Linked DNA regions of Anolis sagrei. The protein of the gene in region 2 purifies or fractionates together with the protein of the main gene of each other region. This does not show direct contact. Links are inferred from orthologs where the notes say so. Each region holds a gene or a part of one and is shown on either strand. Other genes may lie near its edges.

The links.
Region 1: the proteins of NEDD1 (region 2) and C3H10orf88 purify together in Homo sapiens (co-immunoprecipitation; 3 studies listed by BioGRID and IntAct, counting the BioPlex papers as one, with this or other methods). This does not show direct contact. The link is inferred for Anolis sagrei from reciprocal best matches to the Homo sapiens genes NEDD1 and C10orf88.

What each region holds. Positions count from the first base shown.
Region 1 is NC_090023.1:199,482,738-199,492,987, forward strand, and holds the start of C3H10orf88 (ATPase PAAT), read left to right. Parts: upstream 1-5,538; 5' UTR 5,539-5,632; coding exon 5,633-5,811; intron 5,812-8,512; coding exon 8,513-8,716; intron 8,717-9,699; coding exon 9,700-9,772; intron 9,773-10,250. UniProt on the Homo sapiens protein: ATPase that regulates mitochondrial ABC transporters ABCB7, ABCB8/MITOSUR and ABCB10. Regulates mitochondrial ferric concentration and heme biosynthesis and plays a role in the maintenance of mitochondrial homeostasis and cell survival.
Region 2 is NC_090025.1:155,949,891-155,960,449, reverse strand, and holds the start of NEDD1 (protein NEDD1), read right to left. Parts: upstream 4,602-10,559; 5' UTR 4,253-4,601; intron 1-4,252. UniProt on the Homo sapiens protein: Required for mitosis progression. Promotes the nucleation of microtubules from the spindle.

The DNA.
Region 1 (10,250 bases), on a different chromosome or scaffold from region 2:
CTTGCCTTGCATGATAAAACTGATCAAAACTACATTTAAAAACCTGCAATTTTTATCTATTTTTATCTAAAAGTGTGTTTGTTTATCCAACCCTTGGAATTTCAAATGCAATCAGTAATATACAATCCCTGGAGGGTGGATCTGAAGAGGAGTTGGAGAACAAACTGTGCTATTACATTCTGTGCATTTAGATTCTCATGTGCACGAAGATGCTTAAAAATTCTTCATCATAGAGCACTAGTCTCTCATCAAATAATAATCCCAGGATTCCATAGGATGCAGCCATTGCAGTTAAAGTAGAATCATAGTGCTATCACACAAACTGAATGGCATACATTTAAGCAATAGAGGAAAATTTAACTCTCCAATTAAATCCAATTACAGTGTTCCCTCACTTATCATGGGAGTTCCGTTCCAGGACCACCCGCAATAAGTGAAAATCTGCAAAGTAGGGACATATATTAATTTTAGTATTCATACATTATTTTATATATTATTTTCTTACCCACGCTTCCTTACCCGCCTCCCGCCCAGACTGCTAATGGACAAAATGGCCATTTACTATGGCCTTCTTCTGTGCCATACTAATAAATGTTAACTGTGATGCCACCATAGTTGTTTCTGAGATTCTCCACTGGTGTCACCATATACTACTGCTGGCACATTTAGTCGTATCACAGCAATATTTTGCTGGAAAGAATCAATTAAAATCAACAGAAAGCCGTTGAGTTTTCAGGCTTTGACAGCTGAAATTTACCAACAAAGCAAAACATCAGGGATAGTTTGCTATCTATCCTTTTTATTTGTGAAACTCGTGCATATAGTACTGTCATATGCATGTCTGTTCAGAAGTAAGTCCTCTAAAGTGCAGCAGGAATTGCTCACTGGTAAATAAGACACAAGATTGCAGACTTAACAAGTTTGTGATTTTTCCCTATAGTTAACATTCCAAATGTAAGAGATCAATAAATATCATTTTAACATTTAACAACTATATTATATAGAGATAACAAGGTGGGAGTGATCAATCATGCAATTTGCTGACAGACACGTGGTATTTCAAACTAGGACAACTGATTTGACCTATATCTAGGAAACAGTGGCACCTCTAATTTTCATATCCAAGTGGGATGAAAAAATTGTGTCAATGTACAAATTTTGAGAAAACAAGCCTAGGAGTTTTCACATTTGAAGTATTTCAGATTCTGTAAAACCTCTTTACATTTCAGTTTACAAAAGTTTCACTTGCTATGATGTCTTGTCAACCTTACCACCAAAAAAAAAAGATATGTAATTTAAGTGTTCTGTGATCCAACTGAAGTACAAAAATATAGATTGTGTGATTTTCCATTTTAAATTCAAACAACAGATGAGGTTCTGAAATCACCAACACTGGTGCCATTGTAGAAGACAGTACTGGTGACCCAAAACAATGATTTATTTCAGATGTAATACTTTTCATATGCTGACATCCAGAAATTGGGAAAGTTACTTTATTTTATTTTGGACTAGCTTCCCTATGGACATATTGGCTGGAGCTGTAAATTTTACAAGCCTTAAAATAAACAATTATCTTGCAAGTACAGTCAGAGAAGCCAATCTTTCTATGTACCTGAAAGCAGCAATGTTGTGCGCATCCAGTATAAATATCTAGTATGAAGGACTAGGAAAAGAGCTTTGATTTGTGTTGTGGTCTAACTGCTTGGATGCAGTACTCAACCTACCAATGCTAGCATACCTGGTTTTACATTGATCTGATTCTCTTAACGTCAGTGGGAAGATATTTAACCAGTTTACGGTCCAACTAAAAATAACTGTGTAGTTAAAGTGTGCTTAAGTTAAAGTGTATTTACTGTCAACACTCCCAACATCCACCACAAGGAAAACATATGTTCTAATTGGTCCCACTTTTATTATTTTGAGAAAAAGGTGTAGTTGATTTTCCCATCCTGAAACTGATGACTTCGCCGATAAGTAAGCTTCCTGCTTCCATACTTACAGGTTACTTAGCAACTGGCATACTATGACCAAAAGGACAAAATGTTAATAGAAAACTATGGCATGTGCTTTGAAAATGATATCAGCATTTGGATTTCTAAAGAGTGATTAGTCTGGCCTCACCCCTGCTTATAACAAGTATTAAAAGAAGGGCAAAGAGGATGGCATTAGCTAGTTTTAAATTCTAAAGTCCAAACTGGTGGGTTTGTCTGTATGATCTTTCTCATCATCATTACTTTATAATGTTTTTGATGTCAATAGGAATTTCAAACAATTTGTTATTTAAGTAGTGGGAGCTCACCCCGCTCCCCAGATTCGAACTGCCGACCTTTCGGTCAGCAAATTCCGCAGCTCAACGGTTTAACCTGCTCCCGCTGTTAGCCCAGCTCCTGCCAACTTAGCAGGTCAAAAACATGCAAATGTGAGTAAATCAATAGGTACCGCTCCCGCAGGAAGGTAATGGCGCTCCATGCAGTCATGCTGGCCACATGAATTTGGAGGTGTCTGAGGACAACTTGGGATCTTTGGCTTAGAAATGGAGATGACTACCAACCCCTAGAGTCAGACACGACTACACTTAATGTCAGGGGAAAACCTTATGTCAGGTAGCAACCATTTCAATAACTATGTGTTGTCGGAGGCTTTCATGGCTGGAATCACAGGGTTGCTGTGAGCTTTCCGGGCTGGATAGCCATGTTCCAGAAGCATTCTCTCCTGACGTTTCACCCTATCTATGGCAGGCATCCTAAGAGATTGAGGGATCTGTTGGAAACTAGGCAAGTGAGGCTTATATATCTGTGGAATATCCAGAGTGGGAGAAAGAACTCTTGTCTGTTGGAGGCTGGTGGGAATGGTGCAAATGGCCACCTTGATTAGCATTTAATGGCCTTGCAGGTTCAATGCTTGGCTGGTTGCTGCCTGGGGGAATCCTTTGTTGGGAGGTGTTAGCTGCCCCTGATTGATTCATGTCTGGAATTCCCCTGCTTTTTGGGTGTTGCTCTTTATTTACTTTCCTGATTTTAAAGTTTTTAAATACTGGTAGCCAGAGTTTGTTCATTTTCATGGTTTCCTCCTTTCTGTTGAAATCATCCACATGCTTGTGTATTTCAATGGCTTCTTTGTGTGGTCTGACATGGTAATTTCTGTCAGACTAAAGAGATCTGTCGTAACACTGTCTGCATCTCACCTTCTCCAGATGCAGCAGAACAAAATCATTTGACAACTCCCCCCGCCCCCCATTAAAAAACAGCACTCCATTCCAAAGCAGGTTGAGCATCCCTTACCTAGAAGTTCAAAATACTCCAAAATGTCCACACGAGTGGCTGAGATAGTGACACCTTTGCCTTCTGATAGTTCAATGTACACAAAGTTTGTGTCCAAAATTATTAAGAAATATTGTGTATAAAACTATTCAGGCAATGATTATCAGGTATATATGAAATACAAGTGAATTTCAGGTTTGATAATTACACTATGCAACATGATTTTTATTCCTTGGTTATAAATGTCATTTCCAACTTGGTTCTATCATAAAAACATGGAAAAATGGATTAAACTGCAAAAACTTTGTTTTTGCGGGACATCCTGCAGCACCTTTTGCTATAGTGTTTCAATGAATATGTCCTAGAGTCTCAACCAATCCAATATAGAGTTGCTGTGAGTTTTCCAGGCTGTTGCAGAAGCATTTTCTCCTGACGTTTCACCCACATCTATGGCAGGCATCCTCAGATGTGAGGTCTGTTGGAAACAAGGAAATTTGGGTTTTTATATCTATGGAATGTCCAGGGTGGGAGAAAGAACCCTTGTCTGTTTGAGGCATCCTCAGAAGTTCTGGAACATGGCCATACAGCTCGAAAAACTCACTGCAACCCAGTGATTCTGGCCATGAAAGCCTTCGACAACACATCAATCCCACATCATTTGTGGTAGCCAGAAAAACAAAGTTTCTGGAGTATAACAACTACTTTCAAAGTAAGTCCCACATAATTAAACAGGAAATAACACTTTCAAACCAGGAACAGAACATTTCTCAAATTTTGTTACATAGTGTTATCCTTTAGCCTCCCCAAAAATAGACTTGGGTCCCATCTCCAAGGTATTCAATCATTTGCAAATTTATTATGCTGGTCATGGACCGTAAAAAAGTATTGTTGTTGTTGCAAATTTATTGGATACATGCAATAATGCTGCATTATTTGCGCATATATATAGTAAAGGTATTCCCCTAACATTAAGTCCAGTTGTGTCTGACTCTGGGTGTTGGTACTCACCTTCATTTCTAAGCCAAAGAGCTGGCGTTGTCCGTAGACATCTCCAAGGCCATGTGCCTGCCATGACTGCATGGAGTGCTGTTACCTTCTACTCACATTTGCATGTTTTTGAACTGCTAGGTTGGCAGAAGCTGGGGCTAACAGCGGGAGCTCACCCCTCTATCTGGATTCGAACCATCGACCTTTTGGTCAGCAAGTTCAGCAGCTTAGTGGTTTAACCCGCTGTATATATGCAGAGAGCCCCGGTGGCACAGTGGGTTAAAGCGCTGAGCTGCTGAGCTTGTTGACTGAAAGGTAGCAGGTAGCAGGTTCGAATCCGAGGAGTGGTGTGAGCTTCCGCTGTTAGCTCCAACTTCTGCCAACCTAGCAGTTCGAAAACATGCAAATAATAATAATAATAATAATAATAATAATAATAATCTTTATTTATACCCCACCACCATCTCCCCAATGGAGACTCGGGGCGGCTTACATGAGGCCAAGCCCAATCAACAGATTACAACAAAATAAAACCAAAAACACATGCAATAAACAACAGCATCATAATTGCATAAAACCTATAAATACATTAACGATATAAGACTACAATAAACACAGTCACAGTGACAATGGGCAGCTACATGTGCGAGAAAATGGTTTAAAAAACTGGTTAAAAACTGAGTAAATCAAGGCGGGAAGTTAACAGCACTCCATGCAGTCATGCTGGCCGCATGACCTTGGAGGTGTCTACGGACAACGCCGGCTCTTTGGCTTAGAAATGGAGATAAGCACCAACTTCCAGGGTCAGATACAACTGGACTTTATGTCAGGGGAAAACCTTTACCTATATATATATATATATATATATATATATGCAAATAAAGCATTCCAAAATAAATCCATAATAATAATAATCCTAAATCCAAAAGACTTCTGTTCTCAAGCACTTCCGATAAGGGATATTCAACCTTGCAATAATCACACACCAAACGCACAAGAAGACCTGAGTATAACACAGCATGCACTCCTGTCTCTACTATTCTGAAAGGGAGGAATGGGAAGGTGATGCTCCTGCTGCAGGCTCCCTTCTGAACCACTGGCTCCCTTTAGCTCCCTCCTCTGAACCTCAACAACCAGGAAATCCAAGCTGTCGTCCAATCATTCTCAGGCTTTGGGCCTCCAGTCCTTCGAGACTTCACTTCCCAGAATTCCCGCGTATTGTTTAGCTTAGCAAAGGCTCCTGGGAGTTGAAGTCTACGGCTGAAGCGGCAGAACAGTCCAATCTGTAATGACGTCCGGCGAGCAACGCGGCGCTTCGATGTTTAGTTCCGGCTGCAAACCCTTCTCTTCTCCCAGGCCGGCGGGCCCGCTTCCACCCGTTGTCCATGGCGAGCGGGGGCAGCTTGAAGGCCCGGGAAAGAGAAGGCATTCCCGGCGGCGGAGGGGACATGCTCGCCGGCAGCCCGCGCCTCTCTTTGGCCTGCTCCTGGGAGTGCTTGGCTGAGCTGACCAGCGTGGTGCGCCTCGTCCCGGAAGGAGAGCTCGGCTCCTGGGAGAAGGAAGGGTGAGGAAGGCGGGAAGGCGGGATGGGGCCTACCTTGAGCCCTTCAAGAAGGTTATTGGCAAGCTGGAAGGGCGAACACATTCATCATAAGCCTGGATTTCAAGATCTACGAAGAGCAGTTAAGGGAGCTGGGAGAAAAGAAGGCCGAGACCTCTTCTACACTGCCATATACCACCTATGTTATCTGCTTTGAACTGGATTGTATGGCAGTGTAGACTCATATAATTCGGTTCGAAGCAGGCCATCTGGATAATCTGCTTTGACAATCAGCAAGCATTGTATGGCAATGTAGAAGGAACCCTATGACCCTTCCACACAGCTGCATAAAATCCCACATTATCTGCTTTGGACTGGATTGTATGGCAGTGTAGACTCATAATCCGGTTCAAAGCAGGCCATCTGGATAATCTGCTTTGACAATCAGCAAGCATTATATGGCAGCGTAGAAGAAGCCGTATCCCCTTCCACACAGCTGAATAAAATCCCACATTATCTGCTTTGGACTGGATTGTATGGCAGTGTAGACTCATATAATCCGGTTCAAAGCAGGCCATCTGGATAATCTGCTTTGACAACCAGCAAGCATTATATGGCAGTGTAGAAGGAACCCTAGGCCCCTTCCACACAGCTGAATAAAATCCCACATTATCTGCTTTGGACTGGATTGTATGGCAGTGTAGACTCATATACTCAGGTTCAAAGCAGGCCATCTGGATAATCTGCTTTGATAATCAGCAAGCATTAAATGGCAATGTAGAAGGAACCTTAGGCCCCTTTCACATCTTCTATATAAATAAAAATGTAATGTTCGTTTGTGGGATTAACAGAACTCAAAAACCACTGAATGAAATGACACGAAATTTGGACACAATACACCTAACAATCCAACGAGTGTCCATCACCCCATCACACACACACACACACACACAACCTCAGAGGAACAGACTTAAAAACCCCAAAAATACACCATATATACATATACACATACATTCATATACATATACACATGCACACATTCATACAGACACACACACACACATATATATATGCACAAACCCACAGAATCATAGAGTCAGAAGAGACCTCATGGGCCATCCAGTCCAACCCCCTACCAAGAAGCAGGAATATTGCATTCAAAGCATCCCTGACAGATGGCCACCCAGCCTCTGTTTAAAAGCTACCAAAGAAGGAGCCTCCACCACACTCCGGGGCAGAGAGTTCCACTGCTGAACGGCTCTCACAGCCAGGAAGTTCTTCCTCATGTTCAGATGGAATCTCCTTTCTTGTAGTTTGAAGCCATTGTTCTATTGCGTCCTCGTCTCCAGGGTAGCAGAAAACAAGCTTGCTCCCTCCTCCCTGTGACTTCCTCACAAATATACACATATACACACATATACATATACATACACACATATATACATATACACATGTACACACATAAACATATACACATACATACATGCATATATGCACACAAATATGCATATAGACAAGTACACGCATATACACAATATGCATATACACATATAAACACACAAATACACAATTAGATATGCATATATATTCAAAACACTTATATGCATGGCAGGGGATGGTTAGTAGCTGAATAAAATCCCATATTATCTGCTTTGAACTTGAATATATGGCAGTGTGGACTCAGATATTCCAGTTCAAGCAGATGTTGTGGGATTTTCTGCCTTGATATTCTGGGTTATATGGCTGTGTGGAAGGGCCCAGAGAGGGGATTTGAAATTTATTTCATATCAAAAGCTTTGCATAAATTAGTATAAAACTGATAAAAATAGAAGGCACACAGGTGGCTAAATATCTTTTTACCAAAAATGGGCAACAGCAACGGTATTGTCTGTAGCCTCCAACAATTCCTCCTCTGTACATGAGGCAGGGCACAATGGACAAGCATCCAATAGTTATGAAACTGAGATGGACCTATAACCTTGTAACTTTTTTACAGTTGTTCACAACACAACATGAGCCTCAAAATCTATCTTTTCAGACAGACACATATTTTCCTGACTGTAAGAGCTGTTTAGCAGGGGAACTCTCTGCCTCGTAGTGTGGTGGAGGTTCCTTCCTTGGAAGCTTTTAAACAGAGGCTGGATGGCCATCTCTCAGGGGTACTTTGATTGTGCTTTTCCTGCATGGCAGGGGTGTGGACTAGATGGCCCATGTGGTCTCTTCCAACTCTGATTCTATGATTATTCTATAGGTATTCTGTGATTATTCTATGATTAAATTCCCCCAAAATGGATAGTTTGCACTTCTAAACATATTACGGCCCTTCAACAGTTTTATTTTTGTGTGCCTTCAGGTCATTTCTGACTTGGAGCCACCGGTGGCGCAGTGGGTTAAACCCCTGTGCCGGCAGGACTGAAGACTGACAGGTCGCAGGTTCGAATCTGGGGAGAGGCGGATGAGCTCCCTTTATCAGCTCCAGCTCCTCATGCGGGGACATGAGAGAAGCCTCCCACAAGGATGATAAAAACATCAAATCATCCGGGCGTCCCCTGGGCAACGTACTTAATTCTCTCACACCAGAAGCGACTTGCAGTTTCTCAAGTCGCTCCTGACACGACAAAAAAAAATAAATTCTGACTTATAGCAACAAATTGTGTTCCACTGTAATAATGTTTATTTGCATGGAATTCTTAAGATTTAAGTTGACTTCTTTCCCACCTTCTAGCGAAAACATTGTTGTTCTTGAAAGACGCTTAAACCCTGACAACAATACTCCATGCTCACTATACTTGCACTGTGACGCCTATGGATCAGAAGAAATTGTTGGTCTTGGCATTGTGAGTGAGGCACGGAACATGGAAGTCTACATTGGGGAAGAATACTGTGGAACAGCAAGGGGAGAAAAAATCTGCACTATGGAGCACGAGAGGTCAGTTTTGTCAGTTTGTTTATGGAAACAATCTGTATGCTAGTGATGTTATATGCATTCTTTCACATAAGTCTACAAATATTACTAACTATCAAACATTTTACTAGCCTGCCAAGATATTGACTGTATATAACTGATGTATAAGTTTAGACACCGTTTTGGGTTTCAGTTTTTTCAGATTATGGAATACCTATATTTGCATATGGGGCCCCTTGATCGCACAAAGGGTTAAACCATTGAGCTGCTGAACTTGCTGACCGAAAGGTTGGCAGTTTGAATCTAGGGAGTGGGGTGAGCTCCCACTGGTGGCCCTAGCTTCTGCCAACCTAGCAGTTCGAAAACATGTAAATGTGAGTAGGTCAATATGTACGGCTTCTGCTAGCCACATGGCCTTGAAGGTGTCTACGGACAACACTGGCTCTCTTCAGCTTAGAAAAGGAGATGAGAATGCCCCCCAGAGTCGGACATGACTAGACTTAGGGGAAACCTTTACCTTTACATGGAGATGAGACTCAGGTGTTAACACAAAATTTATTTATGATATAACTATAGATATATTGCACTTAATGTGGAGGCAGTTTTATTCAATATTTGTAATAATGCTGTGCATGAAGTAAACCAAGGTGTTACTATATAAGAATGTGAACAATTTTGAATCTGGGAGTATTTTGAATTTCCAGAGGAAGGGTGTTCAGCCTGTAATTGTTTTTGCTACGTTTACATAATTCTGACCTTAGATAAGCCACATGAAAGCTGTCAGAATTATTGAACTGTTGAACTATTGAATTATTGAATTGTTCAAGCATTTGTAAAAATGTTGCTTTTCACTGAGCAACATTTTATTAAGATATTAATATAATCAATATCTTTTAAAAATAGCTGAGCACACTGCTATTTTTGGGGGGGATTTTGGTGTGAAATGCTGTTAAATTGTTATAGTATTAGTATAGTCTTTTTCACAGCTCACTTATTTTATTTTCTAGCAAAAATGACCACGTTACATTATACAAAAAATATCTTAAACTGGAGTGCTCCACAGCCTCTTGTAAGATTAAGGTAGGAAGTTACTTTCTGAAATATTAGTATTGATTTACTTTTTTAAAGGAAGATAGTAGTACATAAAAGAAAAAATTCCAGTTTTGAATGCTGGAATATATAAAAAGAGGGAATTTTATAAGAAGATTTCTTTAGCATTGAATATCATATTTCTATATATACGGTTGTTGTTTTGTTATCTGCAATATTAAAATGAATATATTTTATAAATTAGAAAAGTTTTAGGTAAGGCAAAAGTTAAATGCAACCAACAATATAAAATGGCAAAGCAAGAAGAGTAGATAATCTTTACCATTACTGAGCATTTAATAACCTAGTGAAATGCAGAACTTGGAAAGTCTTTACACTTCTGCCAGCTTTGCCTCATAATCCATCCTCGATTATTGAGTTACTGTGCCATCCTGAGCAGACATGGTTTCATTTGATTCCAGAAACTAAGCATCCTGGTTAGTACATGAGTGGAAATAAAATTTCTAAG
Region 2 (10,559 bases):
AAGTGGTGGTGCCTCACCAAACTACAAATCCCAAGATTCCAAATCATTGAGTCATGGCAGTTAAACTGGAATCAAACAGCATGAATTCAACTGTGTGGGTGCAGCCCAGGTTAACTAAAATAAGCCTGGACAAAATGCCAACAAAGATCTTGTTAGAATTATAATGGCCATCCCACATACCTGGTCAACTTCTGTAAGTGCGTAAATAATAAATAGGACTAGGACCATTTTCGAAGTTACCAGATAATGGAAGCTTTCTCCCATGATACATGCAGAGAAACAGACACCAACTGAATAACGCCTGAGACACAAAAGATACACTTGTGTGTTAGACATTTCATTTACTGCACACCTCACCAACTGCTCAACAACTGCTCACAACTCAGCTCCTCAGCATTGAATATCCAGTAGTTAACTCAATGATTCCCAATATTTTTTGGCTATGCCCCACCTAAGTATCTTTAAAATCTTGATCCATGAAAAAGAAAAAAAATTAAAGGACAGTTGAACTACTGAGGGTGAAAGAACTAAGAAATTGTTAGAAGTTATATTTAAAAATAGGAAATAAAGCTTCAAAACATACAACAGAAAACTGAAATGCATAAATAAAAGCTTTTCCTGTAATGCTTTCATCAAATTCACTGTTAATAACTTATTCTTGAATTGCCCCTTTAAAAATCAAATTGCCCCCCCTGTGGGAACCAGGGAGTTAACTGGAAGAGCCACAACATATTTTGTTAGGATTATTCGGCGAGTGATAAGCCACAATTCTGGGCATGCTCAACTGAGACAACGCCCATTTGACAAGCACGAAAATCACAAAAAATACTAAGACTGTATGTTTGTGAGAGAAACAACTGGCATCTTGTTTGGTGGGAGAGGCATAAAAAGTGTCAGAAAATCTGTTCATAGTACTTTCTATTCTAACTGGACCAAATTGGATTCAAAATGCTTGGGAACAGAAGCAGTCTGGATTTGGACTTTTTTGGAATACTTGCAGATGCAACCCAATTCCAAACTCAACATTCATTTAGGCTTGCTATGTGCCTTAAGGCATAGCCTGAAGGTAAATTTACACCACATATTCTGGATCCTTAGATTCAGCCATCCATGGCAGCCAGATAGCTTACAGGAACATCCAGGAGTAAGCATATTACACCTATTCTAAAGTGACTGCACTGGTTGCTAATTAGTTTCTATGCAAAGCACAAAATATTGGTTTTGACCTCTAAAGCCTACATGGTTTAGGTCCAGGTTACCTACAGGATCGCCTTCTCTTCCACTCCAGGCAGCAGGTTAAAACCTTTTCATTCAGGCAGGCCTTTAAAGAAGGAAGTTTTTAAGATCATCAGGGGCTTCTGTGATTTTAATTAAAGTAAAAGTAAAGGTTTCCCCTGACAATAAGTATAGTTGGTTCCGACTCTGAGGGGTGGTGCTCATCTCCATTTATAAGCTGAAGAGCCTGCCTTGTCCATGCAGTCATGTGGCCAGCATGACTGCATGGAGCACCGTTACCTTCCCGCAGAAGTGGTACCTATTGATCTACTCACATTTACATGTTTTCAAACTGCGAGGTTGGCAGAAGCTGGGCCTAACAGCGAGAGCTCACCCCGCTCCTCAGACTCAAACCGCCAAACTTTCAAACCGCCGACTGAAAGCCAAAACCAAGGTCACAAAAACGTCTGTTATAGAACTCAAATATGCTGATGACAATGTTGTCTGTGCGCATTCAGAAGAAGCCCTACAAACCACTCTAAACACCTTCACAGAAGCATGCGAGAAACTCGGCCTCCCATTGAACACCGAGAAAACCAAAGTACTCTTCCAGGAGTCACTAGTCAATCCCTCTCCAATGCCAGAAATACAGCTTAACGGTATAACATTAGAAAATGTTGACCATTTCCGCTACCTTGGCAGCCACCTGTCCACAAAAGTCAACACTGACACTGAAATACAACACTGTCTGAGCTCTGCAAGTACAGCATTTTTCCGAATGAAGCAGAGTGTTTGAGGACCAGGAGATACGTAAAGAGACCAAGATGCTTGTTTATAAAGCCAGTATCCTCCCAACCATGCTATATGTCAGCAAAACGTGGACTGTCTATAGACGTCATATGCAACTCCTGGAACGATTCCATCAGCATTGCCTCCAAAAAATCCTGCAATCTCTTAAGAAGACAGGCAGACAAATGTCAGTGTGCTGGAAGAAGAAAAGACCACCAGCACTGAAGCGAAGCTCCTCCACCATCAACTCCGCTGGACTGGCCACATTGTCTGAATGTCTGATCACCATCTCCCAAAGCAGTTACTCTATTCTAAACTCAAGAACGGGAAATGGAATGTGAGTGAACAGAACTGTCGGAACTGAAAATGTAACTGAAGGCTCAATTCTTCTGGCAGGCTTACTTAGCTAACTTTCAATGGTAAGTTTTGATTTACATCAGTGGTTCTCAATCTTCCTAATGCTGCGACCCCTTAATAGTTCCTCATGTTGTGGTGACCACCAAACATAACATTATTTTCATTGCTACTTCACAACTGTAATTTTGCTACTGTTATGAATCGTAATGTAAATATCTGATATGCAGAATGTATTTTCATTCACTGGCACAAATACACAGTACACACAAATTTGAATATTGGTGGGGTTGGGGGGAATTGATATTGTCATTTGGGAGTTGTAGTTGCTGGGATTTATAGTTCACCTACAATCAAAGAGAATTGTGAACTCCACCAATTATGGAATTGAACCGAACTTGGCGCAACAGAAAGTACTGGAAGGGTTTGGTAGGCACTGAGTGTTGGAGCTGAAGTTCACCTACATCCAGGGAGCACTATGGACTCAAACGGTAATGGATCTGGACCAAACTTGTCACGAATACTCAATATGCCCAAATGTGAACACTGGTGGAGTTTGGGGAAAACAGACCTTGACATTTGGGAGTTGTAGTTGCTGGGATTTATAGTTTCCCTTCAATCAAAGAGCATTCTGAACTCCACCATTTGTTTTGTTTTGTTTTGTCATGTCAGGAGCGACCTGAGAAACTGCAAGTCGCTTCTGGTGTGAGAAAATTGGCCATCTGCAAGGACGTTGCCCAGGGGACGCCTAGATGATTTTTTGATGTTTTATCATCCTTGTGGGAGGCTTCTCTCATGTCCCCGCATGTGGAGCTGGAGCTGATAGAAGGAGTTCATCCACCTCTCCCTGGATTCAAACCTGCGACCTGTCGGTCTTCAGTCCTGCCGGCACAGGAGTTTAACCCACTGCGCCACCGGAGGCTCCATAACTCCACCAACGATGGAACTGAACCAAACTTGGAACAAAGAACACCCCTGACCAACAGAAAATACTGAGTTTGATGGGCACTGAGTTTTGGAGTTGTAGTTCACATACATCCAGAGAGCACTGTGGACTCAACACAAAGATGGATCTGGACCAAACTTGAGACCAATACTCAATATGTCCAAATATGAACACTGGTGGGGTTTGCGGGGAAACAGACCTTGACATTTGGGAGTTGTCATTGCTGTGATTTAGAGCTCGCCTACAATCAAAGCACATTCTGAACCGCATCAATGATAGAATTGGGCCAAACTTCCCACACAGAATCCTCATGATAAACAGAAAATAATGTGTTTTCTGATGGTCTTTGGGGACCCCTCTGACACTCTCATTGCGACCCCCTCAGGGGTCTTGATCCCCATGTTGAGAAACATTGATTTACATTCTATTGCTACTATATGTCAATTCTGTATCTGTGTTTGGTGCAAGTTTTTACATTTTTTGTGTTTTAGCTATGTGAGTTATTGTTTACATTTTATGCTTGTACCTTTTTGACTTTCGAGCCATCAGGAGAGGTGAATAAGAAGAAGAAGAAGAACTTTGTGGCACAGCTCAGGCATGGGCAAACTTGGTCCCTCCCTCCAGGTGTTTTGGACTTCAACTCCCACCGTTCCTAACAGCCTCAGGCCCTTTCCTTTTGCCCCTCAGCCGCTTAAGCGGCTGAGGGGCAAAAGGAAGGGGCCTGAGGCTGTTAGGAACGGTGGGAGCTGAAGTCCAAAACACCTGGAGGGAGGGACCAAGTTTGCCCATGCCTGGCATAATCTGAAGGTAAATGTATGCGACAACCCTGCACGGATTCGGTTCCCATGGCTTCACAACAATCCAAAACAAAATTCCAAGAGGCAAGCTGTGATTTTCCCCGTTGTGTATAAGGCCCGCAGTGAGACTGAAGGCACAAAAGATGCTTGCCTTGTTCCCAGGGGCCTGCAAGTCTGCCTATCTACCTTCTCAGCCACCGAATCCCCGAGGGAGAGGGCTTCTGTGGGGAGGGACCCTCCGCCTCCCAGATCCACGACGAGGCCTGAGCTCACCCTCGCACTTCACCCAGAAGAGACTTCTAGCCGGCCCGCATCATTTCCACGCCCTGAGGCGCCTCGGGCCTACTCCACACAGTTCCACCGCTTCCAAGAGACTTTCCCCGCTTCTTAAGAACTTAGCAGCCCGTCCCAACAGGCATTGCGAGAACGCGCCTGTCTCCTTCGCCTACGGCGGCCGAGAAAGGGCAAGAGAGTGCGCCGCGCTCTGCTTTTCCTGACCAGGATGAGGAGGAGGGACTTAGACTCACAAGGGGCAGCTGGAAAGGAGGCTAAGATTGCCCCGCTCGCAGCTTTTTTTTTTTCAAAAGAGGACGGAGGCATGTGATTGGACGAACGCATCTCACACGCTCTCTGATTGGTTCGCTTGTCTCTTCCTCCCTATGTTGTTGTTGTTCATTCATTCAGTCCTTTTCCGACTCTTCCTGACTTCATGGACCAGTCCACGCCAGAGCTCCCTGTCGGCTGTCACCACCCCCAGATCCTTCAAGGTCAATCCAGTCACTTCAATGACACCATCCATCCATCTTGCCCTTGGTCGGCCCCTCTTCCTTTTTCCTTCCATTTCCCCAGCATCACTGTCTTCTCTAATCTTTCCTGTCTTCTCATGATGTGGCCAAAGTACTTCATCTTGGCCTCTACTATTCTTCCCTCCAATGAGCAGTCAGGCTTTATTTCCTGAAGTATGGAGTGATTGGATCTTCTTGCTGTCCAAGGCAATCTCAGAACTTTCCTAATAAACTTTCCTCCAGCACCACAGTTCAAAAGCATCTATCTTCCTTCGCTCAGCCTTCCCTATGGTTCAGCTCTCACATCTGTAGGTGATTACGGGTCCCTATTCTAGTAGCAAAAGGAACTGCCAACCTGAAGATAACGTGTGTATACCCCAGGCATGGGCAAACTTCGGCCCTCCAAGTGTTTTGAACATCATTACTTTCTAATGGCTCAATGTACACAAACTTGATGCACAAAATTGTTAAAATTATTGTGAAACGTTATCTTCAGGTTATGGGCATGAATTGTATATGAAATACAACACTGCCTGAACTCTGTGAGTGCAGCATTTTTCCCAATGAAGCAGAGGGTGTTTGAGGACCGGGACATCCGCAGGGAGACCAAGGTGCTTGTTTATAAAGCTATTGTCGCCCCAACCCTGCTATACGCCTATGAGACGTGGACTGTCTACAGACATCACATGCAACTCCTGGAACTATTCCATCAGCGCTGCCTCCGGAAAATCCTAAAAATCTCTTGGGTAGACAAGCGGACAAATGTCAGCGTGCTGGAAGAAGCAAATACCACCAGCATTGAAGCTATGGTCCTCCGCCATCAACTCCGCTGAACCGGCCACATTGTCCAGATGCCCGACTACCGTCTCCCAAAGCAATTGCTCTACTCCGAACTCAAGAACAGAAAACGGAATGTTGGTGGACAGGAAAAGAGATTTAAAGATGGGCTCAAAGCTAACCCTAAAAACTCTGGCATGGACACTGAAAACTGGGAAGCCCTGGCCCTTGAGCACTCCAGCTGGAGTTCAGCTGTGACCAGCAGTGCTGTAGAATTTGAAGAGGCATGAATGGAGGATTTATTTATTTATTTATTTACTGTATTTGTATACCACCTTTCTCAGCCAATTGGCGACTCATGGCGGTTTCCAACAAATCAGTATACATAAAACATAATATAGATAAAAAACATTAAACAGTATAAGACATCACAAAAGCAATAAAAACAACATCATCAGCGTCTCATTATTCTCAAGCATTATCCAATTCCATTGTCAGGTCATTCGATTTCCTATATTAGCTACTCTGTATTTGTAAACCCTTGCTCAAATAGCCACGTTTTAACTTGCCTCCAAAACATCAAGAGGGAGGGAGCAATCCGATCTCCCTAGGGAGAGCGTTCCATAGCCGAGGGGCAACCACTGAGAAGGCCCTGTCTCTCGTCCCGGCCAAACGTGCTTGTGATGAAGGCGGGACTGAGAGCAGGGCCTCCCCAGATGATATTAAAGTCCTCAGTGGTTTGTAAGGGGAGATACGTTCGGACAGGTAAGTTGGGCCAGAAACATTTAGGGCTTTATAGGCCAAAGCCAGCACTTTGAATTGGGTCCGGTAGCAAACTGGCAGCCAGTGGAGCTGGCGCAACAAGGGGGTTGTGTGCTCCCTGAGCTCTGCTCCTGTTAACAACCTGGCTGCCGTTCGTTGGACTAGGTGAAGCTTCCGGACCGTCTTCAAAGGCAACCCACGTAGAGAGTGTTGCAGTAGTCTATACGGAATGTAACCAGAGTGTGGACTACCGTGACCAAGTCAGACTTCCCAAGGTACGGGTGCAGCTGGCGCATAAGTTTTAACTGTACAAATGCTCCCCTGGTCACCGCCGAGACCTGAGGTTCCAGGCTCAGCTATGAGTCCAGGATCAAACCCAAGCTGTGAACCTGCGTCTTCAGGGGGAATGTAACCCCATCCAACACAGGCTGTAACCCTATGCCCTGTTCGGCCTTGGGACTGACCAGGAGTACCTCTGTCTTGTCTGGATTCAATTTCAATTTGTTTGCCTCATCCAGACCGTCACAGCGGCCAAGCATCAGTTCAGGACTTGGACAGCCTCCTTAGTAGCAGGTGGGAAGGAGTGACAGAGTTGGACATCATCTACGTACAGATGACACCGCACCCTGAAACTCCGGATGATCTCCCTCAGCGGCTTCATGCATATGTTGAACAACATGGGAGACAGTATTGAGCCCTGACGAACTCCACAAGACAAAGGATGTGGGGTTGAACAGGTGTCTCCTAACAACACCTTCTGGGTGCGACCCTCCAGAAAGGACCAGAGCCACTGTAAAACAGTGCCCCCCAGGCCCATTCCGGCGAGGCATCCCAGAAGGATACCATGGTCGACGGTATCGAAGGCCACTGAGAGGTCCAGCAGAACTAACAGGGACACACTCCCCCCCCCCCCCCCCCCCCCGGCATTGATCATCAACTAAGGCGACCAAGGCTGTCTCGGTTCCATGTCCCGGTCTAAAGCCAGACTGTGCCGGATCCAGGATAAAAGAGAGAAACGTGCCAAGAGGAAGGTGCATCAAGTCATCCCTGACCGGGACTGCCTTCCACCTGGAAACCAATGGCCTCACAGTGGGAGAAGACGCAGATAAAGAATAGGGCTTCACAATTACCTATGGACCCACCGCCAGTACACTGATCCTGGAAGACTATCCTACTCAGACAATAAGGGATTGCCTAAGTATATGAAATGTCAATAACTTTTGTGTTCAGACAGGCCCCTTCTACACTGCCCCATATCCCAGGATCTGATCCCAGATGATATTCTTATCCCAGATTATATGACATTGGAGACCACATAATCCAGTTCAAAGCCGCAAATCTGGGATCAATTCCTGTAATATAGAGCAGTGCAGATCCAGCCATAGGGGCCCCATGGTGTTCCTAGGAAGGGGAATGCGCAGAGTTTATGTTGCCAGTTGTCAGCTTTCAACTCACTTATGACTTATGGAGACAACCTTAAAATGTTTCATTTATTTATTTATTTATTTATTTATTTATTTACGATATTTCTATCCCGCCTTTCTTGAATTCGAAGGTGACTCAAGGCATCTAACAAACAGGCAGCCATCCGAAGCCTAACAATATTTAATTAACAGAATTAAAAGTACGTTCAATAAAACCTTTAAAAACACATGAAACCAATGGCTTCATTGTTAGTCTGATTATCCAAAAATCATCGTCTGAGCCGTTCCAATGTTCACTTTCATCTAAGTCCGTGTTTGAATGTTGAATTAGATTCGGAAGGCTTGTTCAAATAGCCACGTTTTCACTTTTTTTTTCCGGAAGATCAAGAGGGAGGCCCTTGTGTCTTCCAATTATTCTCAGAGTATTCATTCTCATGGTAGTCTCTCATCCAAGTAGTAACCAGAGCAAACCCTCCTTAGATTTCAAGATCAGATGGGATCTGGTGACTACTTCCCAAAAAAACTTTTAAGACATGACTGTGGCCTTCTACATTGCCACAGAAAATCCACATTATCTGCTTTGAGCTGGATTATATGAGTCTACACTGCCATATAAACCATTTTAAAGCAGATAATCTGCATTTCTATGGCAATGTAAAATGGCCCTAAATTACATTATAACTATGAACCTACAGAAGAGAATTTTGTTCTTACATGGCATAATTTTTGAATTTTTTTTTTTTTTTTACTACAGTAGCTTTGGTACCCAGCAGTGCTGGTTGGGTAATTTGTAACATTATTTATTAGAAAAAATCATTGTTTTTTTAATTTTATGAATGGTCCCATTAAGAAAATGCACAAGAATGTGGTGCACTACAATTCTCATCATCTGGGTGTATGCCCACCCCACAAGTCTTTAAAATTGGTTATGAGGGGTATGTGTCCAGATCCATTGTCAGGGGAGTTTAAGGTGGTTGCTGGATGTGGGTGAATTGCAAATCCCATTACCCAAGGTCCACCTCCTCCAAAACTCAGCAGTACTTAAATTTTGTCATGAAAGGTATGCGTGCCATGTTTGGTCCAGATCCATCATCAGTGGGGGATCACAGGGCTTTCTGGATATAGGAGGGGCTGAAAATCCCTTCCTTCTAGGTCAACCATGAACCCCAAAACCCTCCAGTATTTCCTATTGGGTCACGGGGGATCTGTGTGCCAAGTTTAATCCAGATCTGTTGTTGACAGAAACTACGAGGTTTCCTGGAAGTGGGAACCAAGTTGGAAAATACCTATAGATACATACATACTCTTATTACATATACATTTACAGGGTATGTGTAGTCCCACTGGTTAGATATGTGTTGTTTGGAAAAAAAAGGATACTAGAACATGTGTACATGCACTTTTCATATGAAACTTTCCAAATTCTGATCAAAACTGTCAATGTGCAAGAGGCTGATATAGGTCACAGGAACATAAACTCACCATAGTTCTGTTGTTCTGTATGCAAACTTCCATTATATACAATGGCATATTACAATGATGTCTTCGGTATAAATTGGCAAAATTAAGATTTGGTTTCTTGGATTTAAAAAAAAATTCAAGCAGTGTTGAATGTGTGGATTGTCAAAATCTGTAAATTACCCAGCATTTCTCTAAGTGCTAACAGGATAACTGTCTCAGGATTAACCACAGGTTCCCTGTAATTGGAATGATGTGGTAGCTGAGTGCTGAGACTGTTACCTAAGGCCCCTTCCACACAGCCACATATAACCCAGAATATCAAGGCAGATAATCCCCAATATCTGCTTCGAACTAGATTATCTGAATCCACACTACCATATAATGCAGTTCAATGTGGATTTTGGACAGCTGTGTGGAAGGGGCCTTCGTTTGTAGTAACTGTGTTGAGTTGATGAGAATTGGAGGTTAGTGGATTGAAGTTGGTTGATGAAGATAGAAGAGAGAGAACTTGTGCATACTGTGTTAGTATTTGTACTATTACTGCAACTTAAGTGAGAAAAGCCTCCCAGTTGGAATGAACAGCTTTGTGTCTGCATGTTGTTTTTCTTCCTGAGGCGACCACATCTCTAACAGGAGTGAGGAGTCCCTTCCACTAGTCAACTGGGAATTTCAAACTGATTGGAACCCCTGACATAGATATGGGATGCTGTTGCTAAATAGACGAATGCATCTAGCCTTCTGGAAAATTTCAGTATGAGCTCTTTTTGGTGGGATCTTAAATGTGTTATGCTTTGTATTGAGGGGCAGGGGAGATTATGAACAGATGGCAAGTTCTTCAATATGACTCCCTTGTGTGTAGGAATATACACAAAGAAATTTCTTTCTCACTCTGCTCTAAACCCCATCTTTTATGGAAACAGTAGCCAGTGATCCTTTGTTGAAAGCTCTAATAGATTTGGAAACTTTGTCCAAAAAGAAGAAGAAAAGACCAATTGCTTATATCCACCTTTCCTGATTAGGTAGGGAATCTCAGTAATATTGTCAGCATTAGGGGAAGACATGTAAGAAGTCTCCAGGGCATTCTTCTAACAGGACATCTGTGCCCCTCGCTGTCAGAAAGATGAGTCTGCCAAGAATTACATATGACCATTTGAGTTTTCTGTATTGATCTAAACAAGAACTAGTATTAAACTGTTAATCTTTAAGCTAGTATTTTTTAGCCATCATTAATATTATATATCTCAATCAC